2 linked regions of the Rhinolophus ferrumequinum genome follow. The protein of the gene in region 2 purifies or fractionates together with the protein of the main gene of each other region. This does not show direct contact. Links are inferred from orthologs where the notes say so. Each region holds a gene or a part of one and is shown on either strand. Other genes may lie near its edges. The genes, in order: KATNIP and MAK.

Evidence for each region.
Region 1: the proteins of MAK (region 2) and KATNIP purify together in Homo sapiens (affinity purification with mass spectrometry; 3 studies listed by BioGRID and IntAct, with this or other methods). This does not show direct contact. The link is inferred for Rhinolophus ferrumequinum from reciprocal best matches to the Homo sapiens genes MAK and KATNIP.

Annotation. Positions count from the first base shown.
Region 1 is NW_022680357.1:1,865,017-1,880,939, forward strand, and holds the start of KATNIP (katanin-interacting protein), read right to left. Parts: upstream 6,186-15,923; coding exon 6,063-6,185; intron 4,561-6,062; coding exon 4,484-4,560; intron 1-4,483. UniProt on the Homo sapiens protein: May influence the stability of microtubules (MT), possibly through interaction with the MT-severing katanin complex.
Region 2 is NC_046292.1:83,290,353-83,306,472, forward strand, and holds the start of MAK (serine/threonine-protein kinase MAK), read left to right. Parts: upstream 1-9,727; 5' UTR 9,728-9,783; exon of another isoform or gene 9,784-9,941; intron 9,942-11,739; exon of another isoform or gene 11,740-12,482; intron 12,483-13,326; exon of another isoform or gene 13,327-13,367; intron 13,368-16,000; 5' UTR 16,001-16,120. UniProt on the Homo sapiens protein: Essential for the regulation of ciliary length and required for the long-term survival of photoreceptors. Phosphorylates FZR1 in a cell cycle-dependent manner. Plays a role in the transcriptional coactivation of AR.

The sequences.
Region 1 (15,923 bases), on a different chromosome or scaffold from region 2:
TACAGCCTCCGTGGGCTGAACGCACAGCGCAGCCATCGTGTCCGCTTTATCCGTGCTGACCTTTGCATCCCTTGTACGGAGAGCTCTTTGGTGGAAGTGGAAGCACCAGGAGGGAGAGCACAGGTCATCACGAGGGAGTGACGGGGACAGGACATGCCTGACAGGTGGGTGGTCAGGGCACAAGCAGGGTCCCAGGTGGCGAGAGGATTCAGCCCAGCTCAGCGGGCAGGCAACGTGCTGCTCGTGGACCTAGTGGCAGTGGGTTCTGGGCGGAACTGTCTGGGTCTCTGAGCGCGGAAGTTGCTATGTGACCGGGGTCCAGCCACGTGGCTCCCCCGGACCTCAGTTACTCAAAGGCTCAACTGAGGGGTTCTCTAAGGGCCAGGCATTCGAGGAGGATCCGGCTGGCAGCTCAGAGAGAAGGCGTTTCACATTGAAATGACAACGGTGATGAGGAAGCCCCCGCACCGGGGTGGTGGCCTCACGAAGGCCCTGCAGGTGCCTTGTCAGGCTGAGTCCTTCCCGGCCCTGGGATTGAGATGAACTTGACCAAGGCTGGCCCAGGAAGCAGCCAGATTTAAAGTCAGGTCCACAAGGCCCTGCAGCCTGTCTCCCAGCCACCGGCTCCGCTGTTTCTGTTTCCTCATCAGGAGTCTCGCCACAGGGGCTCTGAGCAGCGAGGGCGCCCAGGCAGAGCGGTGGCTCCAAGCTGGGGGCGTCTGGGAGGTGGTGGCATTTGAGTCCAGCCTCAAAGTGTGGAGGAACCCAGAGCAGTGGTGCAAAAAGCCTGCTGCTCCTCCCGGAACCTGGGTGGCCCGCAGGCTCTGGTATTTGTCCTCTAGGATGTCACCACCCAAGGCCTTGCCATATCCCCCTCCGTGTGACCTGGGGCACGTCCCTAGGTTTCCTCTTCTTCACACTGAGACCGCAAACACCTCCACGTGTCTGAACTGCTACGGGGATGGAAACAGGGGACCAGGCTGAAACCCCACCTCATGGATCCGCCCCGTGCAGGATCGCCCGTGCATGCTGGTTCCCCTTTTCCTTCTTTCTGCCTCAATCTCCTCTTGAGGCAGTGGGTTTGCCTGTCAGGTGGGCATGTTTTCCTGTAAGTTTCCCTCAAGTGACCTTTTCCAAAACACAAAAACACCACTGGATCTGGCCTCGCAGCCGCCATCGAGAGTCTGTACAGCCCCCCTGGGCCGTTAGCTCCTCACCTCCCAGCCCGCTGGTCACACTGCTTGCTCTTCCCTGAGTTCTGCTGGGCGTGGTTCCGTCTTTCAGGAAGTTGAGTGACCAGAATCACTCAGCGTCCTCGGGGAGGGTCTGTGCGCGGTGAGCTGGGCACCACCTCTTCGACCCTCCCCTGGGCCTTTCCTGGAGCCCGTGATCCCTTTCTGCTTCTTCCGGCTCCATTACAGGTGGCCTGGTGCTCAGCTGGGAGGGAAGGGCGGTTCCTCCAGGCAAGGGGTGTGCGGCGGACACCTGTTCTTTCTGCCCACCCGGCACCCCTCCCCCCACCTCCCAAACGCAGCCCTGCCTGTGGATCCCCTTTGGGTGCTGCTCCACTCCTTCCTTCTCATTCCCCGTGGTTTAGGTGAGGCTCACTCCACCCCCAGCTTAACTGGGCAGCCAAGGAGAGGCCAGTGAGACCTGCCACCTCACCGACACGGGGAGACGGGCTTAGGGGTGAGATTGGGGCCCCAGTCAGGTCCATGGGCGTCCTTCTCAGCACTCCTGCTGGAACCCTGAGGGCAGAAGTGCTCTCCTCCCCTCGAGGTGGGACGTAGGTGTGGGGGTGGCCAGTGGCCGCTTTGGCCTCCGAGAGGGAAATGCCCTACGATGACTCCAACACGGGGAAACAGAGCTGAGAGACGGAGAACAATTGATTCTGCGGACGTAACTTGAGAGCCTGGATCCAGCTATGCCTGAAGCCAGACTGTCATCCTGGATTTCTCAATTTCGTGAGCCAGTAAGTTTCCTTGTTGCCTAAGGACCATTGACCATGGGTTTCCATCCCTCCCAGCATAGGAGCAGAAAGTAAGATAGTCTGCGTTCCCCCATCACAGTGTTCTCCCCACACTGGTGGGAATCTGGGCTCTGAGCAAGTACTCAGTGAACTCCTCCTGGATGAATCCAAGAGCAGTGTCACTCAGCCTCTTGGGGCCGCTGTATTGTGGACTGACTCCCCTGAGAACGCGCCCAGTGACTGCACCGCCCTTCTTTTTTTGTGTGTGTGGTTTTTTTTTTTTTCTGGTTTTTTTTTTATTTTATTTTTTTCTTTTCTTTCTTCTTGCACAGCCCTTCTGAGGTCACCAGGCACCCCCGGGGAGCAGCCGGGTTTTCATCGCCCTCTCGGCCCAGTGGGAAGCTCAGCGGCTGGTGTTCCATTGGGTCCTATAACTGGATTTCCAAGCAAACCGCAGTTGATTCCCACAAAGCCCCTCCGCAGTGAACTTGGAGCCACTGGCGACCCTGGCAGGTTTCTCTCCTCTTGATTATTTATGACCATGTCGAGCAAAGTCTACATGAGAAAGTAGACTTTCTTGACCTTGGGCACACAGCTCTCTCTCTGGGTCTCCACGTCCTTGTACGTAAAACAGGGCAGCCACTGTGTCTGCCTCGTCGGGTCGTGTGCAGATAAAACGAGATGACAGGACGAGGTGCCTGGCGCGTGGCTGGCCCTCCAGAAAAGGTGCCTTGGAACCAACAGCCGACGATAGCTCAGCGGCACCCTCTCTGCATGTGTCTCCATTTGGAGCTGTTTCTTTCCAGCTCTACCTTCTAATTTCCTGTCGTCCAGCCAGCTCCCTCTCGGTGACAACACATCCCCCATATTTTATGGCAGCTCAGTTTTGATACATTTTTTTAGCTGCCTTTGTGCTGCCACCTCGTCGCCGTATATTCTCCTCCGCGCTGTCGGCTGGTGCCTCTTTGATTGCACACTTATTGATCCCCGATTAATGAGAAGCCATTTGCTCATCTGACACTCTCCTCCCAGACACGTCACGTGGATTTGATGAGACGATCACACAGGGGTTCGGGGACCCCCGTCCAGCTTGCCAGGAACTGAGTAAAAACAGCCTGCTCTGTGGCATCCACGACGATTAAAAAGCCACGTTTGAGTTAACTGGCCTTCAGCTAGTGTAGTTGCCGCTCGCCCCTGGGTCGGAAGGAGTTGGGCACAGACGGAGTGCCTGGCATTTCTGGCTGGTGCTGGAGAGATTTCTGTTCAGATGTCCCCACTGCGAGAGGTACGGCCTCACCAGGGGCACCTGGAAATGCGGCGAGGGTGTTGTCATGGAGACTGGGGGGCATAACGGAATTAGTAAAGTGGCCGGTGGGTGGGAACACTAATCCTACAACACAGGGGACTATCTTGCACCTAAAAACTTGTCCCATGCCACAGGCCGCGGGAGCCCCAAGTGACAGGTCCTGGTTGTCAGAGAAGGGCAGAGTCCATATTCAGGATGATGACCCCAGACTCTGTCACCTGCAAGACCCCAAGCTAATTCCCTAACACAAAGGCCCAAATTAGCACGCCATCCTTCCGCCTCCTGCAGGTCTGTCTGAGAGGCCTACGGCGTTCGTCCGTTTGTTTCGCACTTTCATTTGCATTCATTACCAACATTTTATTAAAGCACAGGCGGTTGTCACGACTCAAACCCACAAACCCAGATCTCCAGCTTGTCTCCTAGTCTTGGGAGGATATGGACCCCTGGGCCTGTGTTCCCACCAACAAGTGGCCTGAGCCCCAGCAGCTTGGAAGCGAGAATTCCAGGCCCCCAACTGTCCTCACCCACTGAGTGGGCTTCACTCACTGCCCGGCCCCTCCTAGCATCCGACTTTGCAGACCGGGCTTACTGCAAGGTGCCAGGCCTGCAAATAAGCCACAGCAAACCGGAAATGAACTTGGACAGCCCTCCAGACTTCTTTCAAACCAGACCGCACTGCTTTGACCTTATTCACTAACCACTGCCATCTACCGCAGGCTTTTTCAAGAACCGGCACTCCCGAGTCAAAATCCGCACTAACATCACCTTAGATGATGACGTAGGGACCAACTTCAAACACAAATGGACAATGGCACCACCTTTCCATAACAAGGCGTGATTACAGGCTCTGATTTCAAAGGACGGGAGCAGCCTGGAAGATCACAGCACGGGCTCTTCAGGCGGCCAATGCACAGGCCCTGCCAAGGTCTGGCTTTTCGGGACAAACCTACCTTCTCCCAGAACGGAAGCAGGGAGGCAAGAGGCGGCACTTACACGTCGAATAGTTTGCTACAGCTCCATCAAAAGATGCCGTGACATGAGTGAATGGGGAAATAAGAGCCGGCATTGCAGAGAATACGCCGAGCCTGTGTGTGGAGGTAACGGCATCCCTTCGCTACGTGAACAGAGTCTGCGTGCTGCTAATACATCCACACAGGGTTTTTACTTGGCTAACAGGAGGGGCTGCCGGCAAGCGGCTTCGTCCTTACCGGTTCCTCTGCTGAAGCAATATTAAATACTCATCATGTTTCTCATCAAAGTCTGGCACATGTCCTTTAGTGAGACCCTGAAATGAAGAAACAGAGCGGTGTGATATCAGAAAGCAGGAAAGCACGTCCTGAGGCCGGGGGGGCAGTACACACTCTCTGCACAGGTGGCCGCGAGGCGGGGCGGACCTTGACGCAAGCCGGCTCCCTGGACGCGTCCCTCTGGCGACCCAGAGCCCCAGAGGCTGGCTGCCTGATGGCCCAATGGGGCGCCTCACCACAACTAACGACGTACGAAAATCGAGATCATTTCTCCTGTTTGTTTCTCCCAGGCCCCATAAAATCAAGGGCTCGGCCAGGATTTGGGCTTTCTCTTTTCTCCAGGCTCCTGATTGACTTATCTCAATTGTCCTAACCGAAGGCGTCCCAAATCAGTTGTTTTAGGAGGGGATCACGTTTTTCTCTTGCCAACACACGAGAAAAATGTATGCTTGCTATCAACAACTCCGTCATTACACAAATACATGACTCAGAGAATGAAGGTCCCTCCAGAGCAGACATTTGGGGTTTTGGCCCCAGACTGGGTTTGCTCTGAGCAACCGCTCGGCCCCTTCTTTCAGTGAACTGGCTTCCTGAGATGCCCTTGAAGGTTCCTTCGTTATCCTCTTGGGTCACAGGACTTTGGCCTTGGCCTTGCCAACCAACACAGCGCTGCACTGCTTCCCTGGTCTGGGTTGAGCCCTAGAAAGTCAGCCCTGGGCTAGGCTGACACTCCCGGGAAAAAGCTGCTCTCTTTCCACCGCGGTGCTGAGCTGATGAGACGCAAGCCTGGAACCGCGTGAGAATGAAGTTGATGAGAAGACAGGGGATCCGAGAGAGGGAGAGAGATTCTACGGACGTGAGCTTGAGCCCCTACACCTACCCACGCCTGAAGAAGTTTCTGGACCACTTCGTGACTGCTTTACAAGTTTCAGCTGAGTGTCTCTTCATTTTCAGTCCAAAGAATTACGTCATCTACCACAATCTGACAATATGTTTTTTTACAGCTTTATGGAGGGAAAATTAATGAAGCTACACATATTGAAAGTGACATATGTATATACAGTAACCCCCCATTATAATTTGATATATAGTCCTCCAGATGGTTTTCTTTATTTTATACGTAAAATACACACAAACACACATTCTTTTAAACAAAGTAGAATCCCACAGAAACACTGCTTCACAATTTTCTATGCTCCTTATTTATTTATTATTTTGCCAAGGAATAGACTAAAGAGACCATGTCAGCTTGGTTCTAGTCACAAGTTACAGGGATTAAGTTTTAAAGGGCAAGTGAGACATTTGTGACAGAAATGCAGTTTGGATGAATTATCCTGGGGAGAAGAAGAAACAAAAATCTCCATCGCTCTCTTCTTGTCAAAATCCGGCTTCAACCCCACTATTCCCTCCAGAACCCTATCCAAGGGTGACCCAAACCCCCTTAACCAAATAGGATAGCTCTTCCCTTCTTCCTCCTGTTCCTTTGCTCTGGGCTCTGGGCAACTGCTGACCGGCCGGCCGACCACCCATCGCTGCCCACACTCCCGTCCTCCAGCTTCTGCAGCCCTGGACCAGCTTCCCTTCCCTCGCAGCTTTCTGCCTGGGCCTCTCGGGCTACCCTTCCTCCCTCGGCCTCGGAGGTGGGTGGTAATTGCTTGTCCATCTCAACCTGTCCGGGTCCCTCTCCTTCTGCCGTCACTTCTCTTTCTGATTACAAGGAAAGGGGCCCCTGGCTGGGGAACCCACCGAGTTACTCCTCGTCCAGGGCTGCGGAGAGCTGGTTGCAGGACACTGGGTGAGGGGAAGAGTCTCAGTTCCTTCTAGAATAACAGCACATGTATGAGGACAATTTAAGCATGCCCCTCCACATACGTGATTCTCCTTCGATCTTCCCCGCCGTCCTTGAAGTGATCATTACCCACCCCACCCCCCACTTAAGACACAAGCACAGCCATCCCATGCATATTCCACGAACGGGATCCTATTCCAAGGCAATTCACGTAACCATTTGAAACATGCAAATGACCACTGATATATGTTACAGTACAGAACGACACATTCGATGGACATTTTTTGATGAGAACTAGGAGAACGTCAAAGAGCTCAGCCGTGGTGGGCTGCCCTGGGCTTTCACCCCAACCCTTCCAGAACATTCATTCGCCCTTGCCAGGACGAAGAGGTCATCAGAAAGACGTGAAGAGCACAGGCCTACCTCCAGCCCAAGTCTTCAGCAGCCTGTGCTTCTCAACGCTAAGCGTGCACACAAATCACCTGGAGGTGGTGCTGAAAGGCAGGCCCTGATGCAGCAGGGCTTGCAGACGGAGCGTTCCAGCAAGCTCCCAGACGGGGCTGGTGGGACACGAGTTGAGTAGCCGGGCCTCTCCTCACTCCCCACCATTCACCACGCACCCACCTCTGACGGGACGTCACTGAGCCTGAGCGGGGAGGACACGCACTAGCTCCAATGCAAGTCCTAGCACTGCCATCAGTTTCCTCAACTGTGACACAGAGGTCATGACGGCACCGTCCGGGAGGATTTTCCTTTCTCTCATAGGAGGCAGTGACGGTGGAAAGGGATTAGCACAGTTACCTGGCACCGAGGAAAGCTTGCAATGAACGGTACACGTACGTCACAGACTTGCGTCATTTTAAATCGCACCATCTCCCAGGCTCCCCCCGGCACATGCCTTCCTCGTGGTATTCCCTTTTCCACAATTCATTCCGTCTCCCCCGCAGCCTCCAACCCAATCCTCCCCAAGGCCCGTTCAGTTCCCAAAGTCTCTCTCCCCGTGACAGTCTCACCCGCATTCACTTTTCAGCTCATTTTGAAACCCTGAAATTAGTATTAAATTAACATACAATACAGTGTGGCAGAGTGTATGATTAAGTGATAAATTGTTAGCATTTAACTATGTATATTGCTCACTAACTACCTGGGGATTTGGAGACTTGAGGGGGTGAGCCTTGAGCTTTGTTTCCTACCTTCTCTGAGCCTCAGTTTCCTCATCTGTAAAAAGGGGACATTAGTAAGGTCTGCCTCACAGGGCTGCTCTAAGGAGTAATTAGGAGAAAAGCGGAAGTCATTTAGGGTCCTTTCTTTCTTGTTCTCCTTTATAATCCTAGCCGGATCATAAATTCCTAGGGGGGCAGACCATGGGAAGCCGGGGGGAATACGGAAGGGGGAGGCCTGGTCCTGGGCTCATCTTAGCTTTACCACATCCAGCTGTGACGACAGCTGCTACAGCTGCCTAAGCACCAGCTCAGCCCACGCTCACCCCAGCCTGGTCAGACACCAGACACTGCTCCTCCCAGCACAGCACACTTCCCTTCACTGAGGCTTTATTTGTCAGGCTGTGAAATGGGCACATTAACCATAAAGCACCCCACAAGGGTGTGAGAACCTTGTCAAGTGCCAAGTTTATCATCACTGTTTTTCAGCAAACATTATCAAGTGCTTACTGGGTTGGCTGTTACATGTGCAATGATGGTCTAACAAGCTCGGCCCCCGTATATATTCAGATATCAACTTGCCTAGAGGCCGAACTGGACCACCAGTGAGGGGCAGCTGTGCAGGACTCGGCCCCTTTCATGTTGCGTGTGGTGTGAATGACACCCCGTGCCGCTGTGCAAACCAGTCAAGCAAACACACACTGGCCGGGGTCCGCAAGGTCGGGGTGGCTTGCTGGGAGCTCTGGGAACACTCATCTGTCCATAACTTTCGTCAAGTCACCAAAAGCATCCAAGACAACAAACAGGAGACAAATGACCATCAAAAATATATAAACTATGAAGCGACGGATCCGAATGAGGAAACTCGAAGCCTTGCTCACTCCCCCCTCCACATCCATCCAACCCATCAGCTCCAGGTGGAAACTACCAGACCCCCCGGCCTCGGACCACTTCTCCCCCACCTGCCCCCACCCCCTGGCTCAGGCCCCCTCGCTGGCCTCCTGCTTTTGCCCTCACCCTGCCGTGTGCTGTCCCTGCTATAGCCAGGGGGTCCAGATAAAAGGCAGGTGCATCATGTCTTCTGCACAGGTCTCTGTGGCCACCAGGCCTTGCACACAGACCCCAAGCCCGTCTCCGAGCCGCTCCCACCACCCACTGCGGCCCCGTCGACACCCAGCAGGCTCCCCGCTCAGGGGCCTGACTTTTCATTGCTTCTGCCTGGAACGCTCGGCCCCCAGGTCAGTACCCAGATTCCTCGTCTCCTCCGAGGCTTGCCTCAGAACTGACCTCAGGGAGGCCCTCCCCGGCTGCCCCATGTAAAACTGCAAGCTGTGCACACACACACACCAATCCCTCACTAATATAATACCTACTTTATCTTATTTATGATGCCTCTTATTTATGGCGCTGTCCCCTGCACTAGAATGGAAATTCCATGCAGGCAGGACTGTATCCGTTTTGATCACTTGTGTTTTCCCAGACCCTAAGACAGTACATGCACACAGTGGATATATTACCCGATATTGACGGAGTAAAATACACAGAGAGATAGACAGAGAGAGAGAGGGGTAGACAGACAGGCATTTGAGCTGAGATTTTCAAGTTGGAACATATTCTGGGGCAACAAGAAAAGGGACAAGCATTTCAAGCAGAAAGCAGCAGCATGGGCAAAGGTGTGGGGTTTTGACTAGGGCGACAGGTGCTGAGGAGGGCGAGTTAAGTTGGCAAAGGGCCTAAGGAGGGTGGACGTGACACAGAAGCAGAGCCTCAGCGCCACTTTTCATTGCTGTAGTTCTTGTCATCTTACCCCTAACGCTGGCCCAGAGACGGTGTAAATTTTATCACTGAGCACATCATTAATGGTCTCTGGGGGAAGAAAATGGCATTGGAAAGACACGCCAAGAGTCACTTGTGTTTCAAAGGCACGCGGCCCAGGCCGTATTCCAGGGATTCCGCTTTCCCGAGGCCAGAATCCTGGGAGTCTCCTAAACCGGGCTGAGTGAGGGCGCGCCGGAGCCCAGGCCGCGTCCGCGCCGCTCAGAGGGCCCTGTCGGTTTCCAGGGCCTGCGATGAATGTCCAATGGCAGCTGTCAGGCCCCCGCAGAGAAGCCCAATAACTTCGAATGGTTTCCTAACGGGGCTGGGAACCACAGTGGGTCTGGGAGCAGCGCAGAGTGCACAGAGCACGTCCACACACCTGAGTTACTCCCCGGCCCCCGAGGGTCACATTTTAACCGAGGGACGGTGTATGAGCTCTGAGCAGGCGCTCCAGGTCCCTGGGCCCGCTCTTCCGGCCGCCTTAGCTGCCATTTATCATGCTTTCTGTGGCTGCCTATTGTGGGATCAAAATAATGCTAAGCTCTGGGGTCAGTAGCCCCATTTTAAAGAGGTGGAAACAGGCTTTGAAAGCTGAAGCAAATTGCCAGCAGGCCGCAATTTTTCTTGGGGCAACCCCTCTCCTCCACGCTCCATCTGTGTGGTGGGGGTGGACATAATACTGCCAGCGCCACCAGAGAGGGCATGTGGACCTCGGCCTGGCCAATCAGGGCATTGCGTCTCCTGGACATGCAACTGGTTCAGGGCTATGCGTGGCCCCAGAGGAAGGCCAGCAGACTCAGCTCAGGGATTGGCTGAACCTGCGGGAAAAGTCCCGACCTCGCTTCCCCTGGAATGATTAGCTGACCTGCGCCGAGAGCTACAAAGGTGACCACAGCGGAAGTCATTTCTATCAAGGGATGATTGACATCCGTCTATGTCCCATGGAGACGTGTGTCCAAGGAGCAACACCAACACAGAGGCAGGCAGCAGAACCGAGGACAGAGAGAGAGAGAGCAGACAGAAAGCAGACCCTCTTAAATTAACCGTGTTTAACCCCTGCATCCAGCCATGCTTGAAGCCAGTGCCATCTTGGGCTCTTAAGTCACAAGAGCTAATACATTTGTTTCTTTACTCAAGCCGGTTTGAAGTGTGTGTGTGTGTGTGTGTGTGTGAGAGAGAGAGAGAGACACACAGCTGAGGGAGTTCTCGGTGGTACACTCGTAGAACTACTACTCAGGGGTGTCGGACTGCAAAGTCTGTGCCATATCCTAGGGCTCAGGGCAGTGTTTAGTAGACGACTAAGATGATACCTAATGAACATTCTCAGTGAGGGCCCTACACCCACAGTGACAGACGTTCCAAACGGATCTTACAGTATAAAACTCCTACTCACCCTTCAAAACCTGCCCCCAAATGCCAAAGCTCCCGTTGTACTCAGAGATTCTGTTCTTCGTGTCTCAGTGCTGTGTTCTAAGTCTTTAATGTATATTAGCTGAATGAAAAAGTATAATTCTGAGCTTACTTTTCACTGCTTTTGCTGACGTACCAGATGTACTCCCATCCTCAGGACACAAACCACAAACACTCTACAGCCAGTACGCCTGCACTGCAAACAGAAGCCAAGCAATGAAGACCTAAAGCAATGGCTGACACCACCCCTTAGAGGTAGAATGAAACAACACAGAACACTGCAGCAGAGATTTCAGTTTCTCAGGCCCTGGGTAGACGTGGTAACCAAGCCGCATACTAGGCACATAGCAGATGGGTAAGCCAAGGACACACCTTACACTTATGTTTATTACTATGCCTCCCTGCTATGGACCAAGACACACCCTGAGACGTTATATTTTGTTTCAGGATTTGTAGGATATCGATACAGATCCAAAATCTAGGATTTCCTCCTGGACTCCAGGATTCCATATGCTGCATCTTTATGAAAAAGTTTTTCTTACATAGTGTCATGCAGGGACTCTGGTCCTGCTCCCCACATAAGAAGACAGAATACGGTGAGGCCAAAAAGGAACACCCACGGAGCCACAGATAGGGGAGTCATACCGCTATCGTCTCGCTGGCGGCCGGGTTGGAGACACAGGAAGCAGGAGCTGCAATCTGCCATCCGATTCTCTGCCAACCAACCAACCAACCCAGCCACGGCAGTTATATCGGTGGCTAATGGCTAACCGGTTACAGCTGATGGCCAACTAGTCACAGCTGACGACCCTCTACTACCCGAGCCAGCACCTTTCCACGTGAGGCCGAGAGCCTGGAAACTACATTCTGGGACTCGGACCCCACACATAGCTATCTAAGAAATCACTTTCCATACATAGGTGTCTACTAGAAAATAAGTAACATGTCTTTTGATTCTCAGAAAAGTTTCCTCGTAAGGTTGCAGTGTGTGTGATAAGCCAACGTGTAGGCTGGCAAATACAGACGTTCTCTTTTAAAATCTTAAACGAGTTGACTTGAAGAAGGAAAATTGTACATTCATGCCATAGATAGAAAAGCATTCTCACGTGCCATCAATAGAAGGCAGACACAAACACGGAACTAGCCCGTGTTTTACACGCCACCCACAGGCCCGTGGAAGTGTGCAACCACACAGGAGGAAACTCGGGGCTGGAAGTTCCACGTCCACCACAGCCCTGCCAGGTGGGTGACACTGCCCTCATTTTACAAATTCATCCATTTGCTCTATTTATTGAGCACCTTCTGGAGACAGAGGGAGGGCATCGAGTCTGCTAGCAGGGAGCTCACGTGCTAGTGGGAGGAGGGAGACACGTGATGAAACGAATAAGTAAATCTGTGGTATGTCAGATAGTGCTAAGTGCTGCGGAGACGAAAAGAGGGAGCAGCGAGAGAGGGAGGGAAAGAGGGGGTGCTGTCCTAGCCGGGGGGTCCGAGACGGCCAGAAGGCGGAGCCTGAAGGACCAGAAGGCGGAGCCTGGAGGACCAGAAGGCGGAGCCTGAAGGACCAGAAGGCGGAGCCTGGAGGACCAGAAGGCGGAGCCTGAAGGACCAGAAGGAGGAGCCTGGAGGACCAGAAGGCGGAGCCTGAAGGAAGGGAAGGAAAAGAACCCTGTAGGAATCTGGGCAGGAACCAGTGAAAGGCCATGTGGTGGGAGCACTCCGCATATGTGAGGCACAGCGCGGGGACCAGTGTGGCTGCAGGGGGTGGCGGGCGGGGAGGAATGGGCTGGGACTCGGGCAGAGGCCACGGTGAGGACTCTGTACTTTACTGAGGCCACGGGAAGCTGCTGGAGGCTTCTGAGCGGACACGTCCACCGAGGCTTTCCGTGGGTGGAGATGGGCTGGGGCTGCTCCCACTGCCTCCTCCCGGAGGGGACGCGGCCCTGGAAGCCCGGCTGCAGCATAAACAGCTTCTGACGATTCAGGACGCCCGCTCTCCACTCCCAGGCTGGTGCCAACCTGCCTTAGCGCAGCTGTTACCTGCCGGAGGCTCCCGACCCTGCAGGACCGCCGCTGGGCCTGACGGGAGGAGAGAGGCAGCTCAGGTGGGATTTTCCCTCCTCCACACCTGACTTGCATGGGAGAGCCTTTCCTTGGAAGGGAATGAACCTGCCACAGAGAGCATCTTTCACGAGGTCCATCCCGTCACCACCGCCCAGCCAGCCGGGGCTGCCTGAATGGACGGGTCCCTCTCCCCCCAGGAGCTGCCCCGCAGCCCCGGGTAGGAGGTGGTAGCACAGAGGGGCCCCTTGCTATTTATTCAACAAACATGTCTCGAGCTCCCCCTGAGGTTGGGTGCTGCTCTAAGGGGCGCAGACAGGTGATGCAGTCTGGCCCCACCATCCTCCCTGACCTCACTCCCACACACACCCCCAAACCCCTTGGCCCAATGGCTTCTGGCTGCTTCTCGGAGAAGCTCAGCCCCTTCCTCTCAGACCAGGGCCCCCTTGTTGTTTCCCCAGGCCTAGAAAGTTCCTTTGTTGGGCACCTGTGGTCCTTCCTGGGGCCTCTTCTGACGACCCAGGCCGCCTGCCTCCTCGAGGAGCCAGCACGTCTCACTCTGTGAAAGTCTGTCCATTTGTTTGTGGGTCCCCCCAAGGTACCAGACCCATATGGCGCAGGGCAGGTGCCGAATCTCACTGCGGTGTCTCCTAGCCCCAGGCCAGTGCTTGGTCCACACAAGGAACTTACAAAGTACTTGTGCAAAGGAAGGAATGAGGAGGAAGAGAAGGAAAAGAAGGCAGGAAGACAACATCCCTGTTCTCAAGGAATTTCGCGAGGCGGCCAGGGAAAGACGACTGTTCCAGTGCCATGGGGGAGGTGTCAGCTGGAGGACGCACCTGTGCCAGGGCGCGGTGGGTACAGGGCACGGGGGCCTGGCGTTACTCGGGGGCTGCAGGCTCTACAGAGGAAAGGACACGGCGCTGAGCTGTAAAGGAGCTCACTAGGTGGACAGGGGAAGGTGGAGGGGGGCGGGGAGGGCAGAGGATGGGGAATGGTCCAAGCCCACTGGCTGATCCCAGGGGACATGTCACCGGAGGGACCTGGCTTCTGAAATTCCAGGCCTGCTTTAAGCCCAATGAGGGGCAAAGCCTGTTTGTGCCCACGACAGGTGCCCAGTGGCGCGAACACCCTAGGCAGGAAGTGAAACCTCCCGTTCAAATCCAGGGCAGTGCAGTGGGGTTCAGGCTGTGTTGTCTCACACACTACAGTCCAGGGTCGCCGTAGGAATCCCACAGATCCAGCAATAGAAAGAAGACAGTTCACCGTAGTTCCCTCTCACCCCTTCCCCGACTGTGTGGGACCAAGACCCTTTCTTTCCTCTCTCACTCTTTCCCCTCTCTCTCCGTCCTTCCCTTCCTACTTTCTTTCAGGTTCACGGGGAGTGACTGCTAACAGGTACAGGGTGTCTACCTGGGGTGACATCAATGTTTTGACATTAGATAGTAGTGATGGTTGCACAGCACTGTGAATATACTAAACACCACTGCACTGTATGCTTTAAAATGGTGAATTGTGTGTTATATAAATCAGATCTCAATAAGAAATGCAAAACAAAAAAATGGGGCTGATGATTAACACAACACCTTAGAAATACAAAATGCTTAGGCTCCTGCCTGGCGTATAACACGTGCTCAGTTCACACTAGCAACGGAGATGACGCTGATTAGAAATACTCAGAAGTTTCTGATGAGGATGGAACAAAATCTGAACTCATAGTGACCCAGGACCCAGCTCCCCGAGCGAACCCTGAGGCACGTTGTGCTGCAAAGTTAACACCCACCCGAAAGCCATGCAAAGAAAAGATGACATAACTTTTTAAGGATGCAGCTTTCCCTTCCCACGTAGGATGAGGAAGGAGCTGAGCTGACCTGGTTCGGGGGAGAGCAGCTGGGTGTAGGAGAGGGGCTGCTGTCACACACTCAGGACACGTGCCGGGCTGGTGACAATCACAACCCCTGAACGCATCACGGCAGATGGCAGGCGAAGAATGCTATCGGGACGAGGGCGGAATAAAGGAGAATTCATCTGCACTCATATAAACTGCGTTTTTATAATATCTCGCTCGACCGGTGTGTTGTCAAAAGGTGGTGACTTCAGGCTGGTGACGAGGTTTGAGGAATAGAAACCAGGTGACAGGACAGAAGCCAGATGTGCAGGCTGCAGGAGGGACAGCATTTCGTTTGTGCTGCTAGATTTGTCAGGAGGTAAGGAAGGGGTGGGGAGGGTCTCTTGCAGCCCCTACCGTAGCCTGTGTTCTCTCCGAATACGGCTTCTTCAGAGCAGAACAGCAGCCCACAAATTCCATGGTCTCCTGGCCTCCTGCTTGCTCCTTCCAACCCACAGCCCGTCCCTGGGCTTTGCTCTGACATAGATCTCCGTGGTTTCCCTCATCAAAAACCCGCAACAGCTGGCAAGGAAGCCACTTTGGGAAGCAACGCGGCAGTGTCCGCTAAAACATGACAAGGCAAAACCCTGCGTAGCTTCAATCCCCGCCGAGCCAGCTGTTCCACTCCTTGGAATCTACTGAAAAGACCCACACGGGTACCCGAGGAGGAATGTACAAAACGCTGATGCCCTCCAGCCAGGAAATGGCTAAATCACCCTCCGTCTGTCCATACCATAACGTAGTAAGTTTAAAAAAAAAAAAAAAAAAAAAGGCTGGGTTTATTTTTAACTCCAAGGATGGGTCTCATACAGTCAGGGCGGTTAGGGAAGATACAGGTTACAAAAGCACCTTACAGAACAAATTCATTATGACACCACTGTGTTAAAATACACACACTCCCAAAAGACCACGTATATTATATGGATACACTCGGGTCCACAGATGCACAGAGAAAGGTCTGGAAGGATGCATGCCAGACTTGTGACAACAGTTACTCCAGGTGGGGAAGGCTGGAATTATTAGGGAGAGGTAGGAATTGGCAGAAGGGGTTTTAGCCTTATCTAGAAGGTTAAAAATAATTGTCTTAAGGGAGCTGTTTTCATGAATTACTTGCGTAACGAATGACTTCCACCCACCCACCCTCCCTTCTCAAAAAGGAGAAAAAAAATCAAAGGTCCCACATTCCAGACAGGTGCAGCTCGACACGGCTTTCCCCCAATCCCGCATTCCCACATCCAGCTGCCGGCTCGAGGCCCTGGCACGTATCACGCTGAA
Region 2 (16,120 bases):
TTATAATAATGTCCTCATTATTTCTAATGAGAAGTTAGAAGTTATTTGTATCATTTTTCCTCATTTTATCTGAAGATTTTAAGATTTTTCTCTTTATTTTTATTTTTTCAGCTTTCTGAAAATGATGAGCCTATGAGGTCTGACAATTAAGTTCGCGAACTCTTCCTAGAAAAAGTGCTACATACCTCATTGCTGAATATCACTACAGTCACCTTCGAAGTACTCCCCTTGGGAAGCTATGCACTGATGCCAGTGCCTAATCCACCCTTCAAAACAATTGTGGAACTCTCTTTCTAGAATGGCCATCAGAGCTGTCATCATATTACCCTTGATGTCCTTAATGTCATCAAAATGTCTTCCTTTCAATATTTCCTTTGTTCTAGGGTAAATAAAGAAGGCACTGAGGGCCAGAGCAGGTGAGTAGGGAGGGTGTTCCAATACAGTTATTTATTTACTGGCTAAAAACTCCCTCACAGGCAGTGCCCTGTGAGCTGGTGCATTGCCATGACGCAAGAGCTCCTTTGGGACCATTTTTGCACACACCTTTCTCATGCCAAGATTTTCAGCTAAGATTTTCCTAACTGTTTCTCTATTAATGTTTACTTGGTCTGCTATGCTTCTCACAGTCATCCAATGATTTTGACGCACAATTCAATGAATTTTTGCAATGTTTTCATCAGTTACTGGCCACCCTGACCTTTCTTCATCAGTGACACGTTTTCTCCCCTCAGAAAAATGTTTAATCCATTTGTACACTGCCGTTTTCTTCTTGGCGTTATCCCCATAAACTTGGATTGGCGTGTCCCTTATTTCACTTCTACTCTTGCCAAGTTTAACAAGAAATTTATTGTTTGTTCATTGCTCTAATTCAAGCTCAGGCATTCTTGTATGGCACACAAAAACACGCAACAACAATAATGAACACCACTCAGCAAGACACTACCACACATCAACACAAAAACAGCTGTGAGACATTGATATACCAAGGTTATGAAACCTTACCAAGCTGTTTGTACAGTGCTGCCAGTGTAGGTGCACAGTGGCAAGTTTGCAAACTTAATTGTCAGACCTCTGATAATTCAGTTGCTCCAAAGTTAAAAATCTGGAACTGTGTTTGTTGAGGTGAGGAAATGGGGAGCAGTTGAATTTTGTAGTCTCTTAATTTCTAATAAAAACAACAGCAACAAATTTCCAGAACTGTCATTTTTCAGAAGTAATTGTTTATGGGCCATTTTTGCTTTATTGTATGATCATCTTTAGCCAGCAGAAGCAGTTTAGGCTTGAGTTAGCTGCGAATATTTACCATATTCAAATTCTAAGCATATTTCCATTGACTCTAAAATGATTCACTAAAAAGCCAGACAACATAAAGAATTCCTTAGAATCAGTATTTCGACATAACAGAATCTTCATTACAGTAGGCAATACATACGACCAGGGAGCCATTACATGCTAATCTTTTTTCTAAAATTGCCTTTTATTTTGTCTGCATACACGCATACACACACACGCACACACACACACAGTATAATAATGGGCTACTGTTTCCTAATCTGATTCTCACTAGCCTGAGGCAACCACTTTCAAATCCTTTGAACATTTCTTCCAATATTTACCTCCATATTTCTAAACCACAAGTTTAGACTGCTATTTCTTCTTTCTACCCTTATCCTGGGATTTCTTTTTTTCCTTTTCTTTTTTGTCTCTTTCTTGTGTTAGATCCTCTTTATCCAGGATCCTGTGTCTTCATTCTTGATTTATCTCTCCTTTTGGTGGATAACATTTTCCAGAAACATCCTGAGAAAGGATGCATGGGAGAGTTCATAGAAGAAGAATACACATCTCAAACTTGAGGGATAGCTTGAGTGTCAAATTCAAGGTGGAAATGATTTTTCCTCAGATTTTGAAGGCATTGCTCTGTATTTTGCTTGTTTGGATATTTTCCTGGTTTTCAGCATCAGCTTCCATGGTGATTCCTAATCATATGTGTGTGACCTGTTTTTTTTCATAGAATCTTCTATTTATCACTAGTTTTCTAAAATTTCACTGTGATGTGTCTTCGTGGTTTTTTTTTCCTTCCCTATTTTTTTACTGGTCATTTAGTGGGCTCTTTCAATCTGAAAACAAATATCCTTCAATTCTGTATTATCCTTGCATTATTTCTTTGATTTTTGATCCTGTTTCTTTTTTTTTCTTCTGACATTCATTACTTAGACTTGATTCTTTTATTTCCTAATCTTTTCTCTTCTGTTTGTTTTTTAAAACTATATATTGTATTGTTCAAATTTCCAGTTTACCTTAAACTATTCTATTAATTTATTTTAGATTTCTGCCATCCTAGTTTTATTTCCTAAGAATTATTTATTACCTCTTGAATATTACTTCCTTTTATAGAATCATCTTCCTGTTTCATTGATACAAATATTTTCTCTTTATGTCTTGAAGAATATTAATTATATTTTTTGTTTGTTTTGCTTTTTTTTTTTTTTTTAATATTCCCTGCATTGCTTTTGTTCCCTCTGAGTCACAGAGTTTCCTCCTGTGTATCAGATTCCTTATTTGTTTGGGGCTTAGCAACTGGGGAACTCAACCATCAGTATCCACAGAGTTTTTTGTTCTAATCCACTTTCCCAGAGGGTGATGTTCTAATCTATCACCTGTGGCATAAGCCAGTTGCCATCTTTCTGGAAGCAGAGAAAGTAGCCTACGGGCTCACCATCCAAAATGCAGTAGCTCACTTATCTTCCTATTTTTAGCTGGTGCCTTATTCAGACTTTGCTATCCCAGGTAGGGGCAGTGGCCCCTGGTAGGGTGGGCTAGAGGATAAGATCTGGGGGTCTAACTGCTCCTTTTACAGACTTTCAGCCAATCCTCTTTTCGTTGGCCCAGCCACTTTCTGAGGTCCCTTGAAACATCCAATAGTGCAACTCCATCTGAACTTGGCAGTATGAATCAGCTTCCTTCTCCTTTGCCATTTAGTCTTTGCAGTTACATTTTTATTTTGAAAGGATGATCATTTATCCTCAGGAAAAAATACTTCACTTTTCCTAATGCACCCAAAATTTAGGCTTTGTGAGACTATTCATGAGTAAAGCAAAAATGAGCGTGAGTGTTGTTATAATATCTAGTGGACTGGGTGAAGTCTAATTATTAATTTATAACTGAACAAACTTAACACAACAAACTCTTTGCTATGCAAAAACCATAAACCTTGACATTTAAATAAAATCACATCTAAATAAATATCTCTAAAATCTCCATATGAAGCCGATTTCAAACCACACTTACAAAAGCTTGCGTGGTGTTTTAAAAATGTGAAGCTTACACATACCTGCTGTGCTTAAAGAAGCTACACTGATATCCTGAGTTTTTGTAACATAACCTCTTCCAAGTGTTCCGTTGTGACCCCACTCAAGAAGTATGCATTTTAAGAAATCAAAAAAGATGGGAATGAAAATTGTAATTTCAATAGTTACTTGTCTTTGTGATGTCTTTCTAGTGTTTTTAAATTTTCACCTCAGAGCTTTTGAGCTTCTTTTGGACAGGAACTTGATGATATATAATATTACAGTAAAACCTTCTAAGTCAGTGAATAAAATATATAAACAAAGTTGCTGGACCTAGAAACATATTGATAAAGATCAGTTCCACAAATTCATTTGACAGAAACAAACATACCTGAGGTGATATAATTTATTACTTCCTCCTAAGCAGGACAGGCTCTAGACTTATTTGTGACAGGAATGAAGTGAACTGAATAGTCTGTTTAAACATAATGCAGTGAAGTAGCTGCTTCTTGACAGATAAGCCAGATCTCAGGTTCCCAACCGTGTCCTTTCAAGATGGTCACGGTCGTCCATTGGGATGTTTTGTGCCTGAAGTTCCAATCAGGTGCCTTTTGATCTCCTAGATAGGGGCCCTCCCTGGCTTCTGCCTGTAGCTTCGGACCTCTCTCAGGTACGCGTAGAGGCTTCCAGCATTGGAATGGCATTTAGCTACGATGCTGTTGTGTATCGTTGAATGGCACCAATATCCTTGCTCTGGTAAAAAGCTACAAGCTGTGAACACTGGTAAAAACCCAACACGTGCACACATATGCTCGTTTTAGTGGAAAATCTATTTGCATGATGATATGAAGTGGTTTTTTTCATTTAGAGAGGAAATTGTTTGTTTATTTGTGTAGGACACTGGCTTCATCAGTGATTCCAGCTTTCATTTTTATAATAAAGCTTTTGGTTTAAAAATAAAGTGAGACAAAATACAGCAAAATATTAAACAGTAAACAAAGGAAGATAATATTTATTTTCTCCTTTTAAACTTGCCTGTGTTTTCTGATTTTTTCCAATTAATTTATATTTGAAAAAGTCAAAATAAACGTTCTATTTTTTAAAATAAAATTTTAAATGCTTCTAATGCAAAGCAGTTGCTCAGATAAAAGAAATCCAGGAAACAATTTGATGAGAATATCTCTATGAAAATGAAAGTGAATCAAACCTCGAAGACATAGGCCCTACCAGACTATACATTCCTCTAGCAAAATGCAAATTCCTGTTCTAAAACATGAGTTGCTAGAGGGCAGAGTCTGTATCATTCATTCAACAAATGTTTACTGAGCACCTACTATGTGCCAAGCACTCTTCTACATGTTATAGAAACAACAATGAACAAATCACATGAAATGCCTGTCATGTGAAAATTATAATCTAGCAGGGATGGAGAGGAAAACAAATAATACACAAAACAAATAATTAACTGTATAGTATATTAAAAGGTGGTAAGTGTCATGAAGAAAAATAAAACAAGGTGGGTCATTCTTAAAATTATGACCATGTAGAATTTGTTTAGAGTTAAAATTTGATCATGATCTTATATAGTTGATACACTTCTTTAGAAAATAGTTTAATTTAAATCCTAAGGTCAAGGGATAACCCACCAAAACATCATTTGAGGCTAGCTGGATCAGAGTTGGGAATTGAGGAAAAAGTAAAAGAGAATGGCATAGTTAGAAGAATGTATTGAACCAGGAATGTTCTGATTCCTTAGTCACTCACTGAACGTCAGGTTCCCACATTTGGCATTGAGACTGAGGTAGGAAGTTAATGCAGGGCTGGGCTGACTGGATGACCCTTCACCTTGCCATTCTCAGTTGCCAGGAGAAGGCATGGAGATACAGGACAGCTAACTTCAAATACTGGAAGAGGTAACATGTGAGAGAAAAAGTATGTCTTCTTAATGGTCCTGTATAAATCAGGGACACTTTCGATTTAAGTGGAAAGGAAAATCAAATGACAAAGCAAAAAGAGGATTTTTCCAGCTCTTCCAATTGAAAAGATCAATAATACATTCAGGCATGGCTCAATGCAGGTGCTCAAATGCTGTCATCTAGAAATGATCTCATTTCCTCTCAGCCCTGCATCCTTCTGTGTTCATTCTCAGCAAAGATATGCAGCAAAGATGGAGCCCAGTTGCTCTGGACTGTCATTTTCTTAAGTTTCCCTAACAGAAAGGGAGCATCTTTTTCCCAGTATCTCGGAAGCATGTGCCCACCTCTGGAAGCTCACCACCGAGACTCTGAGTGGCTCACGTGGACACCCCAAAGACAAATGGGTCAGGGGTGTCTCACCAAAGGAAAATTGAGGTAATACCAGAAAGGGAGTAGTAAATGCTAGATGAGCAAAAACAAGAGGTCCTGCAGATCATACAGAGTAAAATGTAGAGAACTGCCAAGAACTGCAAAGTAACCTGTTCCCATTCAATAAAAGGGCAATTTAAACCATCAGAACCATCCCAAGTTGAGATTAGAAGAGGTAGTGAATTCTGTCATAGGAGTTTCCATCAAAGACTTACATTTCCAAGTTTTCTAAGGTTTCAATCAATCAACTGAATCAATTCATTTGTGACTGGACACTGCAACGCTTCAGTCTAGCTCCACTGCTGTCACATGTCTCCATTCCACCATCATATCTTAACCCCGAAACTGCAAACATCTCCTAACTAGTCTCCTAACTTCCCACTTGCCCTTCTCCAAACACTCCTATATTTATTGAGCTCCTGGTATGTGCCAGGTACTGTTTAAGGGACAGATACGTTGGTGACCAAACACATAAATCCCCATCTTCAGGGACCTTCCGTTCCAGTGGGGGACGCAGAAAATAAACAACACATACTGGTAAAATATATGAGATGTCAAATTGTGATAAGTGCTAAAAAGAAAAACATAAAGCATTGGGATGTGCATGAAGTGCTAGCAGTGGGGTAGTTAGGGTAGCCAGAGAAGGCTTCACTGAAAAAGCAATTTTTTCAATAAAAACCAAAAAGGAGTGAGGGACTGAGCCATGCAGATATCTGGGGGATGAAAATTCCAAGTAGAAGGAAAGCCAGAAACAGGAGCATTTCAAGCAACAGTGAAAAGGCTGCAGCAGAGCAACTAAAGGAGACTAGCAGGGATGAGATCACATAGATAAAAGGTGGCCAGATGATCTTCAGAGGCTTGTAGTTGATGGTAAAGACCTTGGGAAGGAGAAGGAAGCCTATTCCAGGGTTTTAAACAAAATGACAAAATCTGTCTTGTGTTTTAACAGGATCCACTTGACTGCCGTAAGTATATGCTGAAAGTGAACAAAGGCTAAAATTTCTATCTTAACAGGTCACTGAACACTACAAGAATCTTATAATTCTTTCATTCTGATTAACCCTTCAACTTGTGTGCTAATGTCCTCTCAATATTTTGGTTCATACTTTTAACGCCACAAATTAGACTATTGCTATTTTGCACCGAGAATATTTATGCATTTATACATATATGCATTTATACACACTCACCTTATTTTTTGGCACCTCAGACCTTCCTCCTGGGATTACATTCCTTCTTTCTAAAGTCCAGTCTTTGAAAGTTCCTTTAGAGTAGGTCTGTTGGTTGTAAAATATCTTGGTTTTGTTTTTTTAATCTGAAATTGTCTCTGTTTGCCCTTGTTCTTGAAACATCGCTTTCTCAGGTACAATTCTGGTTTGACAGTTATTTCTTGGCAGTACTTTGAGGAAAAGGTTTCATTATTTTCATTGGCACTTGAGGGGAAATTTTCATTTCGTCTCCTGGCTTCCAGTTTTACTATTAAGAATTTCACTGTCAGTCTAATTGCTCTTCCTTTACAGGTCATCGCTCTTTTCTCCCTAGCTGCTTTTAAATTTGCTTTGTCTTTGGCATTCTGCAGTTTTACTATCTGTGTCTAGATGTGAACATCTTTTTACTTGCCCGGCTTGGCATTCTTTGTACTTCCTTTATCTGTGGAGTCATGTCTTCAGTTAGTTGCAGAAAACACTCAGCCACAATTTTGCAAAACTTGGCTGTCCTCTAATCTCTCTATTCTCTACTTCTTAGACTCTATTTCGATATATATTAGACTTCTTCTTCTATCAAACCTCTTAATCTCTCATTAATATTTTCTATCTTCTTGTCTGTTTATACTATGTTCTGGGTGATTTCTGCAGATTTTGTGCCAATCTCCTAATTTTTTCTTTGGTTCTAATATGTGATTTAACTCATTCTTTTAAAAAACATGTTAAGAATTATTATATTCATTTTAGCAGTTTTTTAATTATTTTCTAATATTCTTGGTCAACATTGGTTCATTTGTGTGATTCTGTATGCTTTTTTGTATGTTTTTCATACATACTTATTTTATATTCAAGTTAATATTTCCAATTTCTGAAATTCTCAAAAGTCTGAATGTGTTGTTGCTTTTTCTGCTAATTCTCACTTGAAAGGGTTCATTTGTCATGTGGTCATGAGCTCACATTTTATGAAAAAATCTGTAGTCCTAAATTGAGGATGCTTCTCCGGAGATGATCTGTGTCTGTTTCTTCTGGGACTCAGATGGTTCTACTGGCCTGGTACCACTTTGGCCCTTTCCCAAGTTCCCTGATTAATTTTCTAGTCTCTGGTCAGCTTAGTCCCATTGCCACTGGTCCAGGGCTAGTCTTCTTGTTGTGCTCAAGCAGGATTTGCCTTTGGCCCAGCTTTGCCTTTCCCATTTGTTTCCTCTCCTACTCGAGTACAATGTATGGGAATGCTTGGAGATTTTCCATTCTTCCTATTTCAACAGTGCAATAAAAAGTATGCTTTACACATGATCTAGTTGTTTCCAAGCAGAAGCGTTCTTCAGAGGATCTAGTCAGTCATGCTGTCCTCTTTTTGTCTTCCTCCTTGTTTCTTGGGTTTGTCTTTTTTAACCTACCTTTTCTCAGTCTGAAATACTATTTTGAGATCTCCTACTGGTTCTCTGAATTCTCTTGGTTAGTTTTTTTTCTCCATCACCTCCATTTTTCTCTCCCCACTCTTTAGAAGACGGAGTTTTCCAGAATCTCAGGCCTCTGTTCTTCTTAGTTTATCTTGTCTACACCAACGACTTCATTCACAGTATTCCGATATTTCTGTATTTCCAGCTCTGACATAACCCAAAGTTACAAATCTACATTTCAAATTGTCTTCTTGTGACCTCCATTTGGATTTTCCTCAAACTCAAAATTTTCAAAACTGGTCCTATAATCTCCCCCACCCTCTCTCCTCAAATCTGCTCCTCTTCCAATATTTTCCAACTTATTTGTGGATACCACTATCTACCACTCATCTAAGCCATATGGTCCTATGAAATTTAACTACAAATATTCCTTGAAATCTGTCCCTTTCTGTCTTATTTCCATCATCACTGATATAGTTGGATTGTCATCATTTCTTCCTGATAAATTACAATAGTCTCTGTTTCTTTCTCTTGTCTCCATACTCATGGCTCAAATCCACCTACCCCCTGCTGCTCTTGTGATCTTTCTAAAATGCAAATGTGAACATGTCACTCCTCTGTGGAAAATTTTTCAGTGTTCCCCTATCACTGCATCATATGGTTTAGGTTTCATAACAGTGCATATAAGACCTCCATGATCTAACCTATGCTTTTTATTTTGCCTGCCTATTTCACTTTAAACTGTAAGAGGGCCATGAGAATGTCTGTCTAGCTACCTTGGCATTAACCTCAGTGCCAAGCCCAGAGCCTGACACCTAACAGATAATTACTAAATGGATACATCACTGCCTCATATATTAGAAACTCTTTACACTCGTCAATCTGAACTTTTTTTTTGCAGTAACACAAGTGTACCCAACTCTCACAACTCTAGGCTAGCTACTATTTACTCATTTATTCAAACATTCATTCATTTATCTTGTAATTACTACAATCTAAAACTGTGAATGGTGCAGAGTAGGTGCTCTGAATGAATAAATGAAAATGAACTTAGAAATTTGGCCTAGGAGATAACACATACCCGAGGAATTAACCAATGTAAGGAATTGTAATACAAGAGCAGTTTTTCTCCAGGCGGTATTTGCATAAACAAATACAAATATAAGGCAAACCTATGCCTTTCTGTTTCCCTTCCCGAGTCTGGGAACCAGATTTAGTGAATCAAACTTTGTAGAATGAATCAGAGCAAAACCAAGAAAAATAAAGGGCAAACCAACCAACTTTCTATAAAGAACTGAAAAGGAATCTCCTAAACCCCATATCTAAACGGCAGAAATCTGAAAGGTCTCAATAGATGCCCAGGTATTCCCGGAAACCCCGCCCTAAGAAGGCGGGGCATGCAGGATGGGGCGAGGCTAGTCCTGCTCGACCACGCCCCCTATGGGCCGGGTGTAAGCGTCGAGCCGCGCCAGAGCTGGCGTACCCCTGCCGTTTCCTAGGAGATGAAACACACAAGACGCCAGAGCTTCACAAGGGAGCGAACGAGGTAAGCGGCTGGCTGGGGCCGGTAATCCCGAGCCGGCTGCGGGGCTGCCATCCTCTGTCCATCCAGCCCGAGCTTGTCCTGTGACGCTGGCCGGGCATGTCCCCGCGGCGCTCTGTCCTACCAGGGCCAACCTCTGCGGAGAAGGGGCATAGACACTGGTAGGGGAAGGGACGGGAGGGAGGAGATCCCTTGAGAGGCGGAGCGGGCGGGAGGGGTCGGCCTGCGGCTGCTGCAGTGGATTCTGTCTAAGGCCCCCTCTACCACTTTACCTGCGCTCCTAGACGGCGGGGGTCGGTCCCGGGTGGGGGATGACGACGGGACATCTGTCAATCTGAGGTACCCTGCCCCGAACCTCTTCCCTAGGGTTCCCCCGCCCCCTCGCCACACACACACACACACACACACACACACACACACACACGCACACCTCCTCCGCTCCCTCTACTGCTTAAGGGGAAACTACTTTTAGGAGTGAGGGGCGTGGTCGGGTCTCGGAAAGAGAGCGAATTGAGTTCAGAAGTTCTATAAAATAAAAAAGACAGAAGTCTTTTTAGGAGTCTTTTAAGGGCTCCGGTTTGCAGAAAAAGGATCAGAGCGTCCGTGTAACGAAAACTGTTTCTTTACTGCAAATAAGACGGGTGGGAAAGTAAACCAATAAAACTGATTTTTAGTGGTTTGTAATCTCAATTCTAAAAGGAAAGATTTATGTATTTGTGTTTCGATAATCTTTTTAAATCAGCAGATATTTGTTCTAGTGATAACGGAATTCTCATGGAGCAGTTATTGGACTTATTTTAATCAGAAAAACAACACATTGGGTCAATATAGTGGTGGAGGCAAAAGTTACTTTTCAGCCTTTTGGCCTTTATCTTTCCCATCCTCCAGTGACCGCTGAGTGATGGGGACGGGAGATACTCCTCTGAAGGCGGCCACTTGCTACCCACGCGAGGGTGCTCTTGGCAAGGATGTTTTATCTCTTCGTTGGGATACGTTTTTTTCTTTCTTTTTTTCTTTTTTTTCTTTTTGTTTAGTTTTAAAATGATTTGTGAATATTACCACAAAGCACTAATGCTTTTATATTTTAATACAGAATCTTTGTTTTCCCATTGTAAAAGCTCCCCTTTTAATTTCTGTAAACATATGACTTGGTTAGTTTGACATCTTTTTCCTGTTTTGCTTTTTAAACAATTAAGTGATTCTTAAGACATTACGTTTTTCTTAAACGTTAATGCGAGCCTAGGAGTGATTACAGTAGGTTCTACAAAGCAAGTTGAAGGCATCCAAATGGCATCTGTTCAGTGATTGGCAGACACAAGTTTCACCCTCCCTTTGACCTCTATGTTAATCTTCTTTACTCCTATCTAAATCCCTTCTTAACTGGCAGAAACTGTTGAGAATAAAGCTCAAGTTTACAATAATTGTGCACTTAGATAAGCAGCAATTGTACTCTTAGATAAAAGTAAGAAAACTAGAATGGGAGAGAAATTATATGGGTATTTATTTAATGTAGGTCTATACTAAGCCTCTAAATACATGTCTTTTTCTTTAAATCAGAATATAAGGTTTGTTTAACACATAGGAAAGTAAGTAAACATTGTAGCTTGATTGTGGAAAATTCCAAGTTCTGTTAAATTAATTGAGGATCACAGTTCTATAACATGTACTTGTGTGTTGCCTTGCTATATATATATATATATATATATATATATATATATATATATATATATTCATGTACATAAGAAATCTTGTTAATGCTTGCAAATTTTGCAGAATTAGCTTTCTATAGGTCAACAGAGAAGAATATGTAACTTGTAGAGAAATATTATTGTGTGTGAACTGGGGACCCATAGGCAGTGTATGTTTCTTTTTTTCTTTTCTTTTTTTTAGCTGCTTAATAAGTTTATTTTTCTCTTAATATGAAAAATCTTCATGGAAAATTATTGTTTGTTTATTAACTTAGCAGCCTGTTCCTGAGCTCTAAGGAAGCTTTTGCCTTCTTCTGCTCTACCCGATCTTTCTTTTGGGCAAGAGACATTTTGGGCCGGTTTCACCTCTTCTTTTTAACTTCTTTCTTAGGCTTCTTCTCATAGACTGGATTCTCTCATCTAGCAGCATGAGCTTTCTTATACATCTCCTCCATGCCTGGAGTTACGTTGTTCTTTATGTATTGAGAGAATTGTTTCTTGTAAGCATCTTCATCTTCTTCCATTAGATAACGCGTCTGCAGCTCCCTTCAGGACTCCCAAACTCTATTTCCAGTAGTAGTTCTGGCAAGCCTTGCATCCAAATAGCAGGTGAAGGCACCAGGTTGACCATCAATGCTTTCCACATTGTATTCATCTCCAGTCACCTCCACTTGACCTTCATAGATCTTGTTCACGCCAAAGCTATTGAGAAGCCTGCAGGCCAGCAGCAGGCCAGTACAATATGCTGCAGCATAATTTGTCAGGCCACCCTTCACGCAATACTTTGGGAGTTCATGGGCATACGCTGCACAAACTATCATATCTCCTTTTATATAGGCATAAGCAGTTAGACAAATGATATCTCTGTTGGTTATATGAACTATCATCCTATATTTGGGTGTGTTGTACTTATTTTTATCCTGGATTACCAAGCGTTTCCGGCCATAGTAATCAGTTTTACCCTTTTGCCGTCTTCTAAAATTCACTTGTTATCTCTTGAAGTTGGGTTTTATTCTTTAACTTTAATAAACCCCATCCTGTGGAACAGAGATCCACGTCCGCCGCTCCCCACAGACCTGCACTCTGTTTCTTAAGTTACATGTGCTGCTTTTTTGACTAGTAATCAGTTTAGGACCTTGCTATGTTATACTGATAAAAAAAAAAAAATAGGTGTTTATGTGCTATCCGTCAGTGGGTACATAGGAATATGATTTTTTAAAAAACCTTTACCTGTGTATCTATGCCTCTTTACATTAGGCCATTGTCCTTGTATTTTCAGAGGGATGAGGGGACAGTGAAAATGGCTTGTTTCTCACCCTGGAGAGCTATTTAATTTGTAATTAATATGATTCAAAAGAGGTCTTTCTAAAGTTATTTGGGAGCATAGTATATCAATTTGTTTTACCTAAAGGTCAGGTAGGATTTAAACTGGACAGATTCTCTCAGAGCCACAAATCTGCCTTTTTTAAATCTATGCCATGTCCTTAATCTTCACGACCACCTCCCAAATGAGAGAAGTTGGGAAATGACCACGTCCCTTGTTTATTCTTCTCTGAATATAAGTACAGCATACGGTATAGCCATCCTCACTTTAAAATACCTTTGTGTTCAGTGTATATTTGACGGTTGGTTGGTTTGGCTTGGAATAAAGTTTCCAATAGCTGATCTAAACCTGGTTGGGCTTCCATGCCAAACGCAGAAAGTCATCAATGACTGAATAATTGTTGTGCTAGTCGTACTGGTGACGGTGGTGGTTGGTGGTCTTAATAGTGGAAGAGAAAGAGACAATGGATTCCACTTTTGCAGGTTAAGTCACTGCAAGGTACAGTTTTGACTACTCTTTCTGGCACCCTCTTACCTCTGGACTTCTGTTCCCACCTGGGCACCTCCATCTTTCATTCCCTTCTCAAGCAATGTGTTCTTTTCCAGAATTGCCTATATTACTTTCTACCTCTCAGACCCTTAATGCTTGTCCTCAGTTATGTGTTAACTTGAAAATAATTGTTGAATATGCAAAAAATTTGCAAAGGAGAGACGGTGCTATTATCCCATTAAATTTCTCTATTAATTTCCTGGGTGAGGTTAAAAAAATAATTTTCATGATGGGAGCTCGGACTCCCTTCTCCCTTACTCAGACTTTCTTTCCCTTCACTGTTTTGGGCCTATTGTTTCTACAGTGTCCTTCAGGTATAGGATAAGCTAGATGTAGCCCTAGGGTTTTGTTAGGTAGTAAGCACCATTTGCACTTTCCAGTTAGTCAGTAGCATCTTGGTGTTTTAGGGTTGGGAGTTGGGCTAGGAAGATGGGGGGGAGGGGGGGTGCGGGGGAGGGAGGGGGGAGGGGCAGGCAGCAATTGTTGTGTGATAGATTCTACATGGTTTTGGAGCAAAGAGAGGTGGTTCCTTACAATCAGTTCCATTAATGATTGTAAAAGCCAATAATGGGTTCTGTAGAAGTTAAGGACCACACTAAAAAAAAAACACAAAACAACAACACAGCTCCTGGTTAATGGACTCCATCTTTGATTCTCTGAATGATCATAAATAGGTCATTTAATCCTTCTGTGTTTTTATTTTATAATTTTACTGGAATAATGAACATCATAGCTTTTGGACAAATATATTCTCTATATTGTTACTTATGCAATAAACCTATAGAGAGCACCATTTCCTTAAAAGAGATAGGTGTATGTCACCTTAAATAAGGTAGGTAGAAAAGAATGTCAAGCAGTTTAACATGTTGATATTGAATTGCAAAATACTGCTTTAATCAAATTCTAAGTGATCAGAAGAAATACATAATATATTTCAGCCCATAATACATTTCAGCCCAGGCATAGCACATAGTATAAAACAACCCAAAAGATCTTTCAAAATTATATTTCCTTATACAAATAAAAGAAAAATTAAGAAAAGCAAATACGTGTTTTGGTCAGGAGCTCTGCAGAGGGATGTTGCCTTTCTCTATATTAATACCTTCATATTTAAAATCTGTGTCTATGTATAATGTAAAGACCACTTGCAAAAAAGAATGCATTTTTAGGCAAAGGATGAACCATTTGTTGGCATTTGATAAGACCATTTGCTCAGACTTAAGCTGAAAGAAATGAATGAATCCCTGCTTAGCACTGGAATCTACTATCGTGATCTCTTTCAAGATCTTGGCCAGAGTTAGCATAGCCTACGTTATTTCACATGTGCTTTTGAAGGGGTTATTTTCTGTATGAAGTAAAATAAATGATAAATTATTATAATACACACTCTCTGTTATTGTAAAGCCCCACTGGGTTCTTCCAAAGTCTCCTGTGGACAAATACATTCCATGTATAGGAAACAACATAGTTTTACTGTAGTTCTCTACACTTGTTTATTCTTTCTCCAGAAAGCCTGTTTTTAGAAGTCTTAGATATTTTGACAACTACATCACATCCTTGTAGGTCCTAAATTTATGCATAAAATAGAAAAGCAGTTTCTATGATTTTATTTTATTTTGTGGAAATATTTTGTGGAAATGAAGCAGTGGTATACAGTAAAAGGAAAATGATCTGTGAATGAAGTACCAAAGTATAAAAGGCATTTTAAAACAAAGTATTTTAATGATGCCAAACATTTTATTACCATCTGCAACTAAACATAAAACCTTATAACAAAATGATGGAGATTCTTAAAAGCAAATTAAGAATGATAAATAGGTATGAACTGAGAAATAATTCCTTGAAATGTGGAACTAAGAACAATGGGAGGAAACTTAAATATTGTTGTAATGAGGTAGGCACTAAGACTAGTGCTTTGTTTTTCTTTAGTTGTGGTAATATAATCAGAACCTATTGAAACCTGTGCCCTTCAAATATATACAGATCCATAATCCCTTATCTGTAGTTTTAAAATCCACAAAGCACTGAAAGATGAAATTTTAAAAATAAATTTGTGCAAATCTTTGTCATGTTTTGCAACAAAACATGACCCGAATAATGTGAGGCCATTTATAGTCTTTATTTATTTTACTTAGTATATTTTTCATACATGTTTCTGTGGTACATTAAAAGGCTAATGCAAAGTATTACATAACATAAGGTATGTGTTCTATACTACTTTCCTCAAAAATGAAAATTCCTGGATTCCAAACACATCTGGCCCACAAATTTCACATAAGGGATTGTGGGCCAAATAAAATCTGATGCAGAAAGTGCTTCAGAAAATGGATATACTGAGTATAATTGTATGATTTGGTCTGGTCTGGAATAATATAGATTATAGTAAATAAAAAGGAATCGTACAAATCATTAAGCCAACATTTATTGAATATTCATGGGATAAATGGTACAGTACCATGTAAACGAAGCATTCACCAAATGAGTATTGTCAGTTGGTTATATGTGAACTGCATTCCACACAGCACAAATGATTTACTGACAGATGTTTAACACATTGGTATTTATGTTACTTAAAGCTTTTCCCTGTGTAGTAAGTTAGCGGTAAAATTTTTTGTAGAGATTCTTTAATGAAAATTCCCTTTATTCTTATTTTTTATAGGGTGTTCATAAGAATGGAAGCACTGTTTCCTTGCCGCTGTAGCTCATGAACCTTCAGATTCTTGGGGAAGAGCCTATGTGAAATGATGACAAATCTATCACCAGTGTAGCAACAACAGTC